2 linked regions of the Notamacropus eugenii genome follow. The protein of the gene in region 2 purifies or fractionates together with the protein of the main gene of each other region. This does not show direct contact. Links are inferred from orthologs where the notes say so. Each region holds a gene or a part of one and is shown on either strand. Other genes may lie near its edges.

The links. Proteins that work in one complex are often made in the same cells at the same time.
Region 1: the proteins of ATXN7 (region 2) and ATXN7L3 purify together in Homo sapiens (affinity purification with mass spectrometry; 9 studies listed by BioGRID and IntAct, counting the BioPlex papers as one, with this or other methods). This does not show direct contact. The link is inferred for Notamacropus eugenii from reciprocal best matches to the Homo sapiens genes ATXN7 and ATXN7L3.

What each region holds. Positions count from the first base shown.
Region 1 is NC_092873.1:349,846,128-349,854,311, forward strand, and holds the start of ATXN7L3 (ataxin-7-like protein 3), read left to right. Parts: upstream 1-4,849; 5' UTR 4,850-5,121; intron 5,122-5,819; exon of another isoform or gene 5,820-5,932; intron 5,933-6,604; 5' UTR 6,605-6,664; coding exon 6,665-6,715; intron 6,716-7,207; coding exon 7,208-7,340; intron 7,341-7,921; coding exon 7,922-8,093; intron 8,094-8,184. UniProt on the Homo sapiens protein: Component of the transcription regulatory histone acetylation (HAT) complex SAGA, a multiprotein complex that activates transcription by remodeling chromatin and mediating histone acetylation and deubiquitination.
Region 2 is NC_092874.1:460,449,243-460,456,986, reverse strand, and holds the start of ATXN7 (ataxin-7), read left to right. Parts: upstream 1-4,309; 5' UTR 4,310-4,408; intron 4,409-4,613; exon of another isoform or gene 4,614-4,801; 5' UTR 4,802-4,812; coding exon 4,813-5,113; intron 5,114-5,256; coding exon 5,257-5,325; intron 5,326-7,744. UniProt on the Homo sapiens protein: Acts as a component of the SAGA (aka STAGA) transcription coactivator-HAT complex. Mediates the interaction of SAGA complex with the CRX and is involved in CRX-dependent gene activation.

The sequences.
Region 1 (8,184 bases), on a different chromosome or scaffold from region 2:
AAACCAGTAAAATCCAGACAACTTGGTTATGTGGTACTTTTTTGGGGGGGGTAAAAATTTTATTGTTGCTTTTTTCCTCACATTCTTAACACTTCTCAATAATTCCCTCACACCCATAGAACCCTTTTTTTTTATAACCAAATGAATACAGTTGAGTAAAGCATATCTCCAGAATGGTCCTGTCTCAAAAGGTATGTGTTTATTCCACACTTCTGTCTGCCACCTCTCTGCAGAAAGAAGGGAGACAGGCTTCACCATCAAATCCTCTGAAATTATAATTTGTCATTCAGTCATGTCCAACTCTTTGTGATCCCTTTGGGATTTTCTTGGCAAAGATAACTGGAGTGGCTTACCATTTCCTTTTCAAGTTTATTTTATAGATGAGGAAACTGAGGCAAACAGGATTAATTTAATTGATTTTCTCAGGATCACACAGCTACTAACTATCAGAGGTCAGATTTAAGCTCAGGCCCAGCACTCTATCCACTGTACCATCTAGCTGCTCGAGATTATAATTGGTCACTGCATTGATCAGAGTTGTAAAGTCTTTCAAAGTTATTTTCCTTTACATAATTGTGGTCATTACATACACTGTTCTTCTTGTTCTGATTTCTTTGCTTTAAATCAGTTTGTATAAGTCCTCCCAAGTTTCTCTGAATTCTTCATATTCAGAGGTAATTTCATAAAGCATGATTTTAATCTCATTCACATGCCAACCTTGTTCAATCATCTCCCAGCCAATGAGCATTCCCTTTTCTTCCAAATGTTTACTACTACAAGAAGTGCTACTATCAGTATTTTCACAATGACAGGCCATAGGTCTAGAAATAAAAGGCTCCACCTTTCCCTTTCACTTTACTGGGGCCCAGGGAGCCTAAACAACATCTTCAAAATCATATAAGGAGCATCAGAGGAGGATCTTCAACCCATGTCCTTGGACTCCAAAGACATGGCTCTTTCTACTATGGACTATTCTTATCTTTGAAGCAGCTAGATGGTGCAGGGGCCTGAGTTTAAATTTTACCTTAGATACTTAGTAGCTGACTAAAGACTCATCTTGCTGAGTTCAAATCTGGCCTCAGACACTTACTAGTTGGGTGACCCTAGGCATGTTACTTCACCCTGTTTGACTCAGTTTCCTCATCTATAAAATGAGCTGCAGAAGGAAATGGCAAACCACTCCAGTATCCTTGCCAAGGAAACCCCAAATGGGATCATGGAGAGTCAGATATAACTAACAGACAAAAACAATGGGTGGGGGGTGCAGCTAGGTGGCACAGTGGATAGAAAAACACCAGGCCTGGATGCAGGATGATCTAAGCTCAACCTTAGACATTAGCTGTGTGACTCTGGGCAAGTTACTTAACCCTTTTTGCCTCAGTTTCCTCATCTGTAACATGAGCTGGAGATGAGAAGGAAATGGCAAACCACTCCAGTACCTTTGCCAAGAAAACCCCAAATAGGGGCATAAAGACTGAACAATAGGGACATCAAAATAGCTGGGCCATGCCCCTTTGACTTCTTGGCAAATAGGTGAGAGACAGCCCCAAGGCCCCTCCTCCACCTTGAAGCCCCCAGAAGTTCCTGCTCCTTACTCTCTAAAGGAAGCCTTTCCCAATTCCTCTTAATTCTAGTGCCTTCCCTCTGTCGGCTACTTCCTATTTATCCTGTATATAGCTTGTTATTGCACAGTTGTTTATTTGTTGTCTCTCCCATTAGACTGGGAGGGGCTCTTGTCTTTTGTCTTTCTTTGTATCCCCAACGCTATATGGAGTGACCAATTCTAACTAGGCTGGGAAAGGGAGGTCCATTTGGCTAGTTAGTACCTTTTGCATGCATAGTCTATTTTTTTCTGGCTCAGCAGTCAGCCTTTTCTTCAGCACATAGTAATCAGACAGCAAATAGTTATAGAATACCTGGGCATGCTCTGAAATGGGGAGCAGGACATGCTATTATGCATATGGATTATACCAGGCAAAGAAGATTGCACATGTTCCCAAGCTGGGCTCTCATTGGCCAGCCCCCTGTCATATAAAGCATGGCTTTTTGTAGGGAGAGGAGAGAAATACATTAGGAAGTGAAAGTGATAAGAAAAAAAAAGATTTTTCTTTCCTTGCTCAAAAAAAAAAACCTACCTCTTCAGATTATTTATCTATTGGCGAAAGACTCTTGTTCTTATGCATTTAAATCTTGTATATCAGATCTTAGATATCCTTATTATAGATATGTGTTGCAAAGATATTTTCTCCAATGAACTGCTTCTCTTCTAATTCCATCTACACTAATTTTATTCATGGTGTCTGACTTTCCCCAAAGGACTTCTGTGAGACATGAGCAGGAAGAGAGATAGCAGATGGTGGCAGTAATCCAGCAGTTTGGCAAGGAATAGCTAGCTGATGAGAGGACCAAAAGGTAAAGAGTCTAAGGTAACTAACAGTATGTGGTTGAACTGGTCAAGGTCATGAAGGCATGGAAAGGAAGACAGAGAATAAAACAGGAAGGGATAGAAAGATTGGAGGCCACCATAAGCATAAAAAACAGATTTAAGAGGTGCCAGGTAGTGACGATAGGAATTCAGAGATTTAGATGCAGGACATGGAATAATTGCATTACAGGTGATGATCTGATTATTTGAGGAGTTCTAGGCAACTGAGGGGTAGAAAAGATGGAGGTCATGGGAGTTGAAGCACTTAAACTGTGAGCTCTAGTTGTTTCAGGAGACTGCCAATTATCTTGAAGTCCCCAAATATGAAGATTGGGTTTGAGGTTGGAGAAGAACCTTGAGTTCATTGAGAAAAGACTAAGAGACTGGCAAAGTTGACATAAAAGGAAAATAACAAATGTGAGAGGGGTTATGAGGGGAAAATGCACTGTTAGTGGAGCTGTGAATTGATTCAGTCATTATGGAAAGCAGTTTTGGAACTTTGCCCCCAAAGTTACTAAACTGTGCATTTGCCACAAGTAGGCCTGTATTACTAGACCCTTTAACGTAGAAATACCTAAGCTATGCTACAAAATGGTCAAAGAAAAAGGACCCATATGCAAAAATATTTATAGCAGCTTATTTTTTTTCTTTTGTAGCTGAAAAGAACTGGAAAATAGGGGAATGACCTTCAGTTGAAGAATGGCTGAACAAATTATGATGTATTAATGTAACGAATTTTATTGTTCTCAATGAAATGATGAAAGGGAGGCTATCAGAGAAACATGGGATAACAAATAAACTGAGCAGAATGAAATGAGCAAAAGCAGGAGAACTTACACAGTTAACAACATTGTAAAGACAAACTTGAGAGACTTAAGAATTCTGATCGATGAAATCACCAGCCATATTTCCCCAAGACCCAACGGGAAACGCGCTGATCTCCTGAGAGAGTGGTGATGGATTTGGGATGCAGATTGAAACACATCGTTTTTTTTTTATAAACACGGCCAATTTAAAAATGTTTTGCTTGACCATACATATTTGCTTAAAGAGCTTTTTCCTTTTTTTTCAGTGGAGATGAAGTGGGAAGCAAAGAAAACAAGTCTTTAATGTAAAAAAAAATAAATTTAAAGACAAGGAACTGTCAAAGACTTCAGAACTCTGAACCAGACAATGACCAACCAGGATTTCAGAGGACCCCAAATGAAATGTGCTGCCCACTTACTGAGAGACTGGTGATGGAACCAGGAGGTAGATTACAACACCGTGTTGGGAAACGGCCAGTAAGAGAATTTGTTTTGCCTGACTATGCATATTTCTTACAAGGGCTTTTTCTTTTTTCCCAACGAAGGAAGGTGTGAGGTGGGAAGAACAAAGATACATTTGTATGTGAAAATTTTAACTATTATTCATTGAAATTATTTTTTTAATGAAAAGACTAACAATGGCTTGGCAATCGCTAGAGAATAAGGAGTTCGACCAGGTGACAAATAGATGGAGGAAGGTGGCACCCTTGGTACAGTGGGAGGGGCGATTGAAAGGCACGTTGGGGGGTGGAGGCGTAGACACTGGGAGGCGGGGAAGGGGGGGAGTTAGGGGGGTTCAAGGGGCAGCGTCTGGCCCCACAGCTAGAAGTCCTGGGACCCTCTTCGCAGCCCAGAAAAAGGGTAAATCAGCAAGAACCAGCGGCATTCACTAAGCCACGTTCCCCAGAACACTGGGCCTGCAATGCGAGAGGCGGGGTTTCCCCGGGAAAAGGGCGGGGACTGCGGGTCCAGAGGCGTCCCCAGGGAGCGGGGAGGGGAATGGAGGGGAGCGGCCACCAGAGTTCAACACCACCGGCTCCCCGCCCAGTTAGCCGGCCGGGATTGCAACAAAGTATCCACCTCCCCAAGCTTCGCGCACCCCTGCTTTAAACACCGCTTCCGCTCCGTGCGGTCCTATAGGCCTGTCGGCGGGGATGCGTGCTTCCTATTGGCGAGGAGAAGACAATCGAGGCCCCGCCCCCTCCGCACACTCTCTAGGGAGGTACGGCCGTCGGGACGTTCGGCCGCGGCGTGGCCCTCCTCCTCTCCGCTCGGCTCCCTCCGCCTCCCCCGCCCCATCTCCGCCCCCAATAGCCAATGCGGCCGAGCGGCGGCCCGCGGGGCAGATGCACGCGCCGGGACCCCGCTAGCTCGAGCAGCCGCTGCGCGCGCGGAAGAGAGTGCAGGAAGACAGGAAGTGAGGGAGGGGACAGCGGGAGAAGGGGAGGGGCCCGAGGGTCGAGGCCGCTGCGGGGAGGCCGAGCGCGGGGCGGGGTGGCGCGCGCGCCCGGCTTACCTCGCGCGCGCGCGCTCTGGGCTCCTCGCGCCGCGCCCCCCGCCCGGGAGAGGCGGGCTGGATCGTCCCGGGGCGGGGGGGAGGTTGGAGGAGGAGGGGCGGGGTGAGGTGAGCAGGAGGCGGTGACGAGGCAGCGAGGCCAGGAGGGAGGGGAAGGAAGGGGCCATGGCCGCCCGCTGAGGCGGCGGCGGGGGGGAGGAGGCGGCTCGACCCCCGGCTCCGGGAGGCGAGGCGAGGGCGGACGGACGGACGGACATGGGTCCCCGGAGAAGTAGCAGCAGCAGCAGCAGCAGCCGCCGCCGTCGCCGCCGCCGGAGGACGCGGCCCTGAGAGGCCGAGAGGCCCCGGGGCCCCGGCGCAGCCCCCCGGGCGGGGTGAGTGAGGGGGGAGGGGAGGGGCCTGGGGTCCCGTGCCTCCGCCCCCTGACCCTTGACCCTCGCGCCCTCTGACCCGCCGCTGCCGGGCCCGCGTTCTCTTCCCCGCCCCTCCCCCAAGTCCCGGAAGCAGTGGGTGTTTCTCGGTCCCGGGGTGTGGCGTGCCCTCTTTCCCTCCTCCCCTCCCCCCGCGCTTGTCTTGGGATGGGGGAGGCCCCCGGGGCCGAGGAAGGCGCTGCCCTTTGTTTGGGAGGGAAGACCAGGTTGCCCTGAGGAGCTCGGACAATAGTCCCCTGGAGCACCCCTTCCTGCGGGGCAGGGCAGGGAGGATGCCCGGGCCTGGGAGGTTGTGGGGTGGGGCAGGACCTTGTTTCTCCCCAGGACTGGAAGAGATGGGAACTGGTGTGGTTTGGGCTCCTCCCTACCCCCCCCCCCCCCCAGGGTGATGCAGCGTCAATGCAGTATCGGGCAGGGTGGGGGAGAAAAACTAAAGTCCCCAACCTAAGTGCCTCGTTCCTACCTCCATTCACAAGCCCTAGGGTATTCTTAGCCCTAAAGGGGGAGGGGGGCTCCTTGACACCTCCAGAGACTCCACTGTTGGGAGGAGGGAACCGGTGAGATGGGTTACTGCTTTCTGCCATGCTGTCCTCCTTGGGCATGGGATTGTTGGGTGGGGGCTGGGGGAGATCTTCCAATTCCTAGCTCTTAATCCTTAATCAATGCTGAATAAGAGGTGTACAACTGGCAAGAATTTAAGAGCTCCTCAGTTCCACCCTCTACACTTTACTGATAAGGAAAGGGAGGCCCTAAGGTTAGTAGGTTAAGTAATTTGCCCAAGGTCACAAGTATTAAGTGATAGAGCCAAGACTAAAACCCTGGTTCTGTGATTCAAAATCCATTTCTCTGCACTGTAATGCAAAAATCCTGCCCGGTTCCTTGCTCCTTTATCTTAACCTTCTTACAAGGTTAGCTTCCTTGCTTTGGTTTGGTTTTATTTCATGAGGAGAGACCCAGGGTCCTCCTGCCAGTTACTATGACTTTGGGTAAGTCATTTAACTATTCTGGGTCTTAGTTTCTTAATTTGTAAAGTGAAGTGGTTGGACTAGAAAATCCGTAAGATACCTTCTTTCTCTAAATTTATGTGAGAATTCGGCAAAGGTCTAGGACAGGGAGTTACCTAAGGTGGCATAGCTCCAGGCCTTCTGTGGCCACCATGGCAAAACAGAAGTCACTTTGGGGATGAGATGTGTGTATGATGGTGGAAAGGGTCAAGCTTAGGAATCTGTATAATTTTCTCCCTTCCACCCTACTTCAAGAGAGTTTCAGGTTTCCAACCACTGAAAGAATATTTTTAAACAAGGTGGAAGAACTCAGGGATCAGTAAATTATGAAGGGAGAGGGGAGCTGGGGCTGGGGGAGAGTAGGTAGTAGAGATCCTCTGGACTTAAGCTACCCTTCCTCCCCCAACCCTCCATGTGTACAGCTGTGTGGCCTCCTGCTGTGCTATGAGCAGTCAGAACGTCTTCTCCACGAGAGTTTGCAAATGAAAATGGAGGAAATGTCTTTGTCTGGCCTGGATAACAGCAAGCTGGAGGTGAGAGCTCTCTCCCATCTGTTTGTCTGTCATCTTTGTTTTCTGGTTATCTATATTCATTATCAGCAGCAAAGAGAAACCGTTGGGTAGAAAAGGCACCGGAGGATTTCGAGTTAGAAAAGGCTTGAGTTCAAATTGTGCATTTGCCATTTTCTACCTGTGTGACCTTGGACAGGTCACATCAACTTTCCATAACTAAGTTTTTCCTTTTGAAAAATGAGGAGGTTGAATGAAATGTTCTGAGGATAGACTAGATGATCTCTGAAGTTCCTTTCAGCTATCAACGTTAGGCTCCAGGAATATGGGATAACCACTTTTTTGGGGAAAGGAATAACTGAAAGCCTTGAGAACTGGGAGAAAGAAGAATAGGAATTCAGGATGGAGGCTGGGCCTCTCGTGCTTGGGTCTGAAGCAGTTGTAGGTAACATTAGGGAAGTAAGGCTCAAGTGAAAAGGGCCCCTGCAATCACTCTTGTTCTTTTGGGGGGCCCAGGCCATCGCTCATGAGATTTACACAGACCTGGTGGAAGATGCTTGTCTGGGACTCTGCTTTGAGGTGCACCGGGCTGTCAAGTGTGGCTACTTCTTCTTAGATGACACAGACCCTGACAGCATGAAGGACTTTGGTGAGGCTCAGATGGTGGAAATGATACAAATTCTATCCTCGAGGCTTACTTCATGTCTCCGTAGAGTGTGAACCTTGGCCTTGGGGAGAGTTAATTTTCCTTGCTGTGTGGCTTGGGGTTCTTATGGTTAGTTGTGGTATAGGGCTGGATCTTATGGACTAACTCTCTCGGGTCTAGGAATTGAGTGGGAATTGAAAAGACCTAATGCTTTAAAAAACAGCCTTGCCTTTTCTGACTTGGGGGTGAGGGTTGGGGTGCAGGAGGTAGGTAAACAGGGTAGCAGTGTGCAAGTAGGAGTGTATTCTTTGTCATGTCCTGGCTGAGGCTTAGTATTACTTTCCTGCCTGTGCCATCTGCACCATGATTGCTAAATTCTGCGGTGGGTAGACATGACCTTCAGAGCCTTCCTTAGAAACAGCAGATCTTTATTTTCTCTCCCAGTCCCATGTGTCCATCTCTGCCCATGAGGAGCTGCATGTCATAGCTCAAGGGGCAGTTGTGTGTGAAATCAGGACTGTTTACTAAAGGTATATAAAGGATCCTCCTCCTTACCCTGATCTTTGTGACCCTCACCTCCCCAGAGATTGTAGACCAGCCTGGTGTGGATATCTTTGGGCAAGTGTACAATCAGTGGAAGAACAAGGAATGTGTTTGCCCCAACTGCAGCCGCAGCATTGCTGCCTCCCGCTTTGCTCCCCACCTGGAGAAATGTCTGGGCATGGGCCGGAATAGCAGTCGCATTGCCAACCGTCGGTGAGTGGGCAGGCACCACAGTGAGCAGAGGAAGGGGCCTGAGGGAAGCTCTAGGGTGGGGGTCATGAAGATATCCCCATGACCATCTCCC
Region 2 (7,744 bases):
GCACAGTAAGAGCCCCATAGATTTTGAACCAGAAGAGACTTTGGAAGTTATCTAGGCCAATGTCCTCATTTTTTACAGGTGAGGAAACCAAGACCCCAAGGTGAAGTCACTTACCTAAGGTCTCACAGGGAAAGAAGCGACAGAACTCAGATCCTTCTTCTACTCTCTATCACCCTTTTTTCACTCTAGGGATGTCTACACATCTATTCCTGTAGATCCCTAAAACCGTTTGAATATTTATAGGTGGGCTGAAGAGCTTTTATTGTCTTTTGCTTCTTAAAATAGTTGTTTCTCTTTTTAAAAGCTGCAAACAACTTCTTGATACTAAAGTTATCTTTGGGGAATTATCAGGAAGCTGGATGCCAGTGATCAAGAAAAGGAAAAAAGCGGGGGAGGGGTTTTGATTTGAAGAATGCACATTTGTTCAGGTCGGGTCATGAGAAAGATAATTATCCTTCCACTTTAAGTCCCCAGTTTCTCAGCTGACCTCATTCTTCCTAGCTTGGTGCCTTACAGTCAGCACTCCTGGCCACTGAGCTGATGAATTCATTTTGCCACTGCCCCTCTTTCCCCTCTCCTGAAACATGCGTCTCTGTAAAGAGACTTCACTAGGGGGAGCATCGTGTCGTAAAGACCAGCCTGCCGCCCTGCATGCAGAACAAAATGATGAAAAACCTGGTAAACCATATGGTTAGGAGGGCAAAAAGACAGAGACAAGAATCTTGCGCAGCGTTAGATTCAAGCTTAGGTTGAAGCTTAGGCCTAGACTCCAGCCACATTCCTCTGTGCATATGAAGGGTTCATTTTATGTTTTCTAATATGCCTCAGGTACGTTAGGTTGATTTGGCATGGGGAGCCCACTGTCATCATGAGACTCATAACAGACAAGTTGGATGTGCATTTTCAGACATGAAGATGTTGGGTCAGATTTTCCTCTCAGACACTTTCAGGTATTGATTCCTTGGAAGGTCTTACCCATATCTGATCATGTACTGCTTGTAAAGAAGGAAAGGTATTCATTTTTCCCCTTACCATACCACTGGTCTCTGAACAAAGATATTTATAAGTGAACCTGTAACGTAAAGAATCCTCTTTGTAAAGAGAGATACGTGATTCTTGGCTCCAAATGTCACCATCCCTAAATCTGGATAGTGAGGTAAGACTGCATTTTCAGCAGATCCTCAGAATTAAAAGGCTCAGAATTTGGCAGGGCTGGGATGCAGACCAGTGACACAGAACCATTACTTCCATAGAACTCCTTGGATGAGGCTTGGTCCAGACTTCTCCCAGAGTTACGTGCATGGACAAATGATAATGGGCACAGTCAAAAGATAAACTTATCATTGGATTAGTGTCAACACTCTGTGAGAACTTCAAGAGTGAGAATGAAATCACATCAGTGGACATCTACCCTTCATGCCTTGCAGGCATGCTACTGCTTTACAGTAAATGGAGTTAAATGAAGAAGAGAAATTATGATGTGCTCTTAAGCCTGTCCCTTGGCGTGATTTCCATTCTAGGGAATGGGGCTCATCAGGTTTCCTTCCTACAGGCTTGAGGGCAAACCCAAGTATTCATTTCCACAAATTGAATGTCTACCGTATGGTCTATGTGTAAAATGCTCAAAAAATGAACCCCCAATTAGATACCAGCATCCAGCTAATGTCTGTGGATAGTCTGAAGCAAAGCCTGAACATTATAAACCACCTCATGTAGTTCTTAGTGCTGGGCTCAAGAGTGACAAATGCATTGGCAGAGACGATTAAGAATCAATGATGGTCTGGTTCCCTTGTCCCCCTTTATTTGTGTTTTGAGGTTACCAGACAAGGATTAGTTGAAATAGTTGAATTTGCTGTTATAGGCATTCAACAGAAACTAATAAAACAATTATTTTTATAAGAAAGGCAAAAATGTTGCTCTGTTTAACGTTCGGCCTTAATTTTAATATACGTGGTCTGTGATTTTCCTTGACAAACAGTAACCAATGAGGAATTAGGACAGATTGCTTGGCTTTGTTTTGTAATTGACATGGACTAGTTAGGAGAGAATTCACCAGTCCTTGACTCAAACACCAGAACGTGGGAAATGGAGTATCAGCTAAGCAGTGACTACTGTTTGCATCTTACCGCCATGGAGAGGGTATTTGCCGCCTCCAGTTTGTTGGCTTCACTGTCTTGTACACGAAAGCAAGGCATTTGTCATCATCCTCTGATATCACTGTAGTGGACAGTTAAACATGGTATTTGAAGGCAGCTCCAAATTAGAGTTTAATTTTTGATAGCGTTATTAAATGTGGAAGTGGAAAATTATCAATGTGCTCAAATCTAAAATGTAAATAGAAGAATAAGGGAAAATGTACTCATATGAGAAAGTATTTAAGGAAGAAAAATTGCTGCTCCGGGCCCATCGGTTATGCTTGTAAACAGCTGGGTTAGCCAGTCCGGTCCTCTTTCAACATCTCAGTTAGCAGTACTAATAAGGGTTTGTACGCTGCTTTTATGTGGTTTCTTTTTTGACTGGTTTAGAAAAGAACTGTCAGCTTGGGAGCTGAAATGGAGCTCCTTATTGGATGAGGGCATTTTAGAAGAGAGGAGGTTTATTCTGAGTACTGTGTACAGGAGAACTGAGACCCACGGGAGGACATTATAGGGAAGCGCACTGGAGCTTAATTAACGATGCTGGTGACGATCACAGGAGTTCCAGTCCTTCTGTCCCTCCCGGATCACCGCAAGTCATCCACAGAGCGCGGCCGGCTGTCACCTGTCAGGAACGCTGCTGGGGACACGTGTGGCTCCGTGTCTGACGGCAATGACGGCCGGAGCTCCTGGCCCGGTGGTTCTGAAGGCCCCCGGGATTCCGCCTTGTCCTCTTCGTGACCCTGCTTGGGGTTGTCTTGGTAAAGGCACTGCGGTGCTTTGCCGTGTCCGTCTCCACCTCGGGCCGGCGGGTGAAATGACTTTCCCAGGGTCACGCAGCTGTGAAGTGTCTGAGGCCTGATTTGAACTTGGGGAGACCGTCTTCCCGATCCAGGCCCTCGCGCTCTGTGGCGCCACCTAGCGGCCCATTCCATACATCGGATGACTTCTATTCTCCATTGGGTTCTGGATTAGGAAGTTGTTTTGCTTTCTTTAAATGATTTCCCTCCAGATCACGGCTTTTTGTTTTTAGGACTTATTTAAAGGCAGGAAAAGGGGCAGTAATTTCATTTTCTTGAACTCAAGACTTGTCTGCAACCGTCCAGGAAATCAAGGAAAACATTAACCATCAGTCCCCCCCCCCCCCCATTTACAAATTTTGTTTAAAAAAATATCCTCCCAGCCTCTTCTGTTTGGGCCTAAAACAACCGCCGTCCGGGGAACGCTTCGGTTAAAATCCGGGTTGCCCCAAAACGTCCCCCGGACGCTCCCTCGGAGCCTGTCGGTTACACTCCGTGAGCGGAATCCCTGTTTCCGCACTAATCTCTAGTCTCTCCAGGGGTACGGCTGTTTGTCGTTACTGACTCGCCGGGTGTGCCTGGCGGGGGGTGGAAGTCTGGACCCCGGCGTGAGGAGAGGTGCCCCGGCCGGCCGGAGGAGAGTGGGACGTGAGCTTAGCCTCGGCGGGCCCGGGGTTCCGGGGTGACCTGAGAGGCAGCAGCCTCTCCGCCTTCCCTCTGGGGAGGCTCCGGTCCTGGCTCCCCGGGTCCCACGGAAGCAGCGCCCGGGAGCGATCCTTACCCGCCCGGCACTTCGCCGGGCCCTGAGAGCAGCGGGCTTCTGCTCCGAGCCTGCCTTTCCCCGCAGGCCTGGAAGGGGTTAAGCGCTGTTCGGTGCGCTCAGCTCGGCTCCGGTGCCCGGTGCCAGTGCACATACAAAGGCACGGTCTAACGCTCGGCCTGCGGCCGCGGACGCGCGGGCATGTGCCGGGAGCTCGCGCTCGGATTTTCGCTCCCCTTGCCCCCCTCCGGCGGTGACTCCGGGCGCCCCGAGTGAGTGGTCGGGGCTTCCCCATTCACGCTTTTGACAGCTGGGACGCCCGCTGGCCGGGCTCGGCTCTGGGCGGCCCGAGGGCGACCCCCGGCCGCCGGGGCCTCCTCCTCCCCCACCCCCCCGGGACGGGCCGGGTTTAAAGGGCCCGGAGCGGCACGCGCGGGGGCGACCCCGCGGCCGGCCGACGGCCGGGCGGGGGCGGAGGGATGGTCCCGCCGCGCCTCGCTTCCCTGCTTCACCCTCCACTCCGGGGGCTTGACGTGCAAACTTCGCCCGAGCGGAGCGGGGCGGGGAGGGGAGGGGAGGAGGCGGCGGCGGGAGGTGCCTCCGCTTAAGGGAGCCGGCAGCGGGCGGGCGAGCGGCGCCGGCCGGCCGGCCCACCGGACCGACGGAAGCCAGGGCCCGGGGCCCAGCCCGGGGATGAGCGCGGCCGACGCCAGGCGAGCCATTGCGGGGGAGGGGAAGGGGGCAGGAGGGCGGGCCGGGGGCGGGGGGCCGGCCGCGGAGCGCGGGCCCGGCCGTAGAGGCGGGCGGCCCGGCCCCGGCGGCCCCTCTCGGACAGGTTGATCCGAAACTGAAAGCAAACGCCGGGCGGGGGCGGGGGCGGCGAGGCGCGGGAGCGGGGGAGGGGGCGGGGAGGGCCGCCCTTCCCGGACTTTGTGCCCCGCTCGCTCCCCCGCGCCCCGGGGGCTCGAGAGGGGGAGGGCGAGCTGCCCTCGGGGGCGGCTGTCAGAGCGCCCCACCCGGCCCCGGGCCGCGCACGCCGCCCCGCCTCGGCAGCGCCTCCTTAAGAAGCCCCGCGACTCTTTCCCCCTTTTTTTGTTACATTGTAGCAGCGGAAAGAATGTCGGAGAGGGCCGCGGATGACGTCAGAGGGGAGCCGCGCAGAGCGGCGGCGGCGGCGGCGGCGGCAGCGGCGGCGGCGGCGGCGGCGGGAGGAGCAGCGGCGGCCGCCAGGCAGCAGCCCCAGCAGCCCCAGCCCCAGCCGCGGCCCCGGCCGGCCCAGAGCGGCGGCGCCTCCGCCTCCGCCTCCGCAGTCACAATGGCGACCGTCGGGGAGCGCAGGTCTCTGCCCAGTCCGGAGGCGATGGTTGGACAGCCGTGGAACCACTGGGTAGAAGCCGCGAAACTTCCCGGGAAGGACGGTGAGGATCCCCCTCCTCCCCCACCCCCGGCCCCTGCCCCGGGGGAGGGTCGCCCCCGCCCTGCCCTGCCGGGCCGGCACCGGCTCGCCGCTCGCGCCCCCCACTGACCGGCCGCTCTGGGCGCTGTGTTCTTCTCTCCCCAGGGTCAGAATCGGAGGAAAGTTTGAAGGAGTTTGGGAAAAACCGCGAAGTAATGCGGCTGTGCCGAGAAGGTGAGTCCGGCCTGGAGCGCCGGGCCGGGATGGGGCCGGGATGGGGCCGGGATGGGGCCGGGGGAGGGGCGGAGCCAGGGCCCTTTAACAGCCCGGCCGGGAGCATCCTCCGCCCCGGCCGGGCGGCTCGCGGGCACCTGGAGGGGCGCGCTCGGGGTGCCCGGGCCAGCACGGGCGGACGGGCCCCGGGGCCGGGGAGGGGGCGCAGCTTCGTCTGGACGCGAAGTTGGTGAAAGTCGGAGTCCGGACGGAGCCTTGTCGGGTCCCTGTGCACGGGCCGGGTGCCCCTTGGGGGTGCCAGTCATCGGTCCGAGGCTGGTTGTGGCAGCAGCAGCTGCTCTTTGCGCCCGGCTTCGGTCAGAGCAGGGGCTGTGCCCCCGAACGGGGGCAGGGGAAGGCCGTCGGCGCCCAGCAGAGTGAGCCCCCTCGGGAGCTGCTGGGGGCCCTGGGTTCAGGCTCTGCGCCCCAAAGCCGGCCAAGGGTGGCGCTGGCCAAAGGAAGATGCCCGGGAGGTGCAGGCCCCACGCTCGGCTTTACGGTTCTCACCCTGGCAGCGTGCCTTGGCAGCTTTTTATTTTCATTTTTCCCCTCAGGTCCCCTCAGGTCCCGGAGCCCGATGCCTAGGGACGGGAAAGCGCCACAGGGAGCCTGTGCCACTTTTAGAGGCCTGAGCTTTTGTTTGTACTGCTGGTTGGGCCTTTCTGTAGGCCACTTGTGGAGTGTCTTGGCACACTTAGGTAACCCACTACTCCCGGTGGCAGTAGAGATTTCTCGATTGGAGAGTATCGCAGAACAAATAAATTGGTTTTGAAATGAGAATTGCTGTTAGAAAAGAGACAAGGAAGCCCAGCCCTTGTCAGAGATGTTGCAATAGGAAAAATCAGTTGTTAGTCTGGTTTTGGTGCTGAATTGGCAGCCTGCCTGGGCATTAAAAACATTAAAATCTTGTGGTGAATATTCCCTGGAGATCCTTGGAAATGGGTAGATGTTGTAGAGGAAACACTAAAGTAGAGGACTTGTCTTGGCTGTGTGTGTAGACCTTCTTAGGAAGGGTTTTTGATCTTAGGGAGCCCTTTGTATGAATCATTAGTACCTCTTTAGCTAGGGTTGCTTTGGGATCCAACTGGAAGGACTCATTTTTAATGCCCTGTTTTTGATTCCTGTGTTCTGGGTCTTGTTCTTTGCCTTTTTTCGGAAGCTGGTTTATTGTTCCCTAGTTCATATGTATCCCACTGTGTAACATGCCAAGGGGATGGTACATAGTAGGCACTCAGTAAATGCTTTTCAAATTGAATTGAAAAGCATTCCACCATAAATTATCTGTAAGCCATTTCACTGCAAATTAATTGAAGGCCTAAGGTTTCCTACCACCTTTTATCAGGCATAACTGATTGTGCATTGGTCTACCTAAATGGATAGATGTCTGTATTCCAGAGGTAAATGTGAATGAATTTTGGATTTTTTTTGTTTTTAATTTTATTTATTCTCCTTCGTTAATAGAACATTGAGAATCGACTGTCTTTTCTAGAATGAAAGAGTAAGCTCTGTTATGCTTCCTGTCATCCCCAATGCTCTCTTATTGGGTCTTCTGCAATTTGCCAGTTCAAGGCTAACTCGTTTTAGTAACAGTGAGGTGCTCAGAAAGAGGCCAGATCCATGCTCTGAATCACCAAAGATCATTTATGCTCAGGTCAGTTTTATGGAGTGCATTTTAGTTCTTTGAAAACTGATAATCCTATGACATGTATACCTTAACTCGCTTAAGCAGAATATTGGATTAACTAGAACACTCCATTCCCTGACGACAATAGTTTTCCTTTTTTTTTTTTTTTTTTAAATTTTAAGACCTTCATCGGATAAGTCAGTAAGTATCCATAGGGCATCCTCTCCTCTTGCTCACCTCTGTTAGCTGCTTGTAGGAATAAGGACACATGTAATGCACTAACCCTGCTCTCAAGGAGTTTGTAATCTGGTTGAAAAGAGGCTTGTCAGTGAAAGGCTAGTGATTAACAGTATACAGTTTTATGCTTGGTTGTGTGGCATAGATTGTGAAAGTTCAAAAAAAAATGCAAGATAGATAAGTCAGCAAGCAGTTATTAAGCACCTACTGTGTGATGGACATCATGTGAAGCCCTGGAAATAAAATAAAAGGGTGCGGGGAAGAAATCCCTGCTCTCAAGGAGCTCACAATTTTACAAACTGGGTACAAACAAGTTGAACAGAAGAGATATTGGGGAGAAATCAGTAGAGGGAAGGCACCAGTATTGAGGGGGATCAAGAAAGGATCATTGTAGCAGGTGGACAAGTCAGGTAAGGTTTCATAGAGCTGGAAGACTTTGATCTGGAATTTTGTGTATCATCTGGATATTAAGATGGAAGAAGGCACAAAGGATTTCCCCAAAGATCATTAAAAATGGCT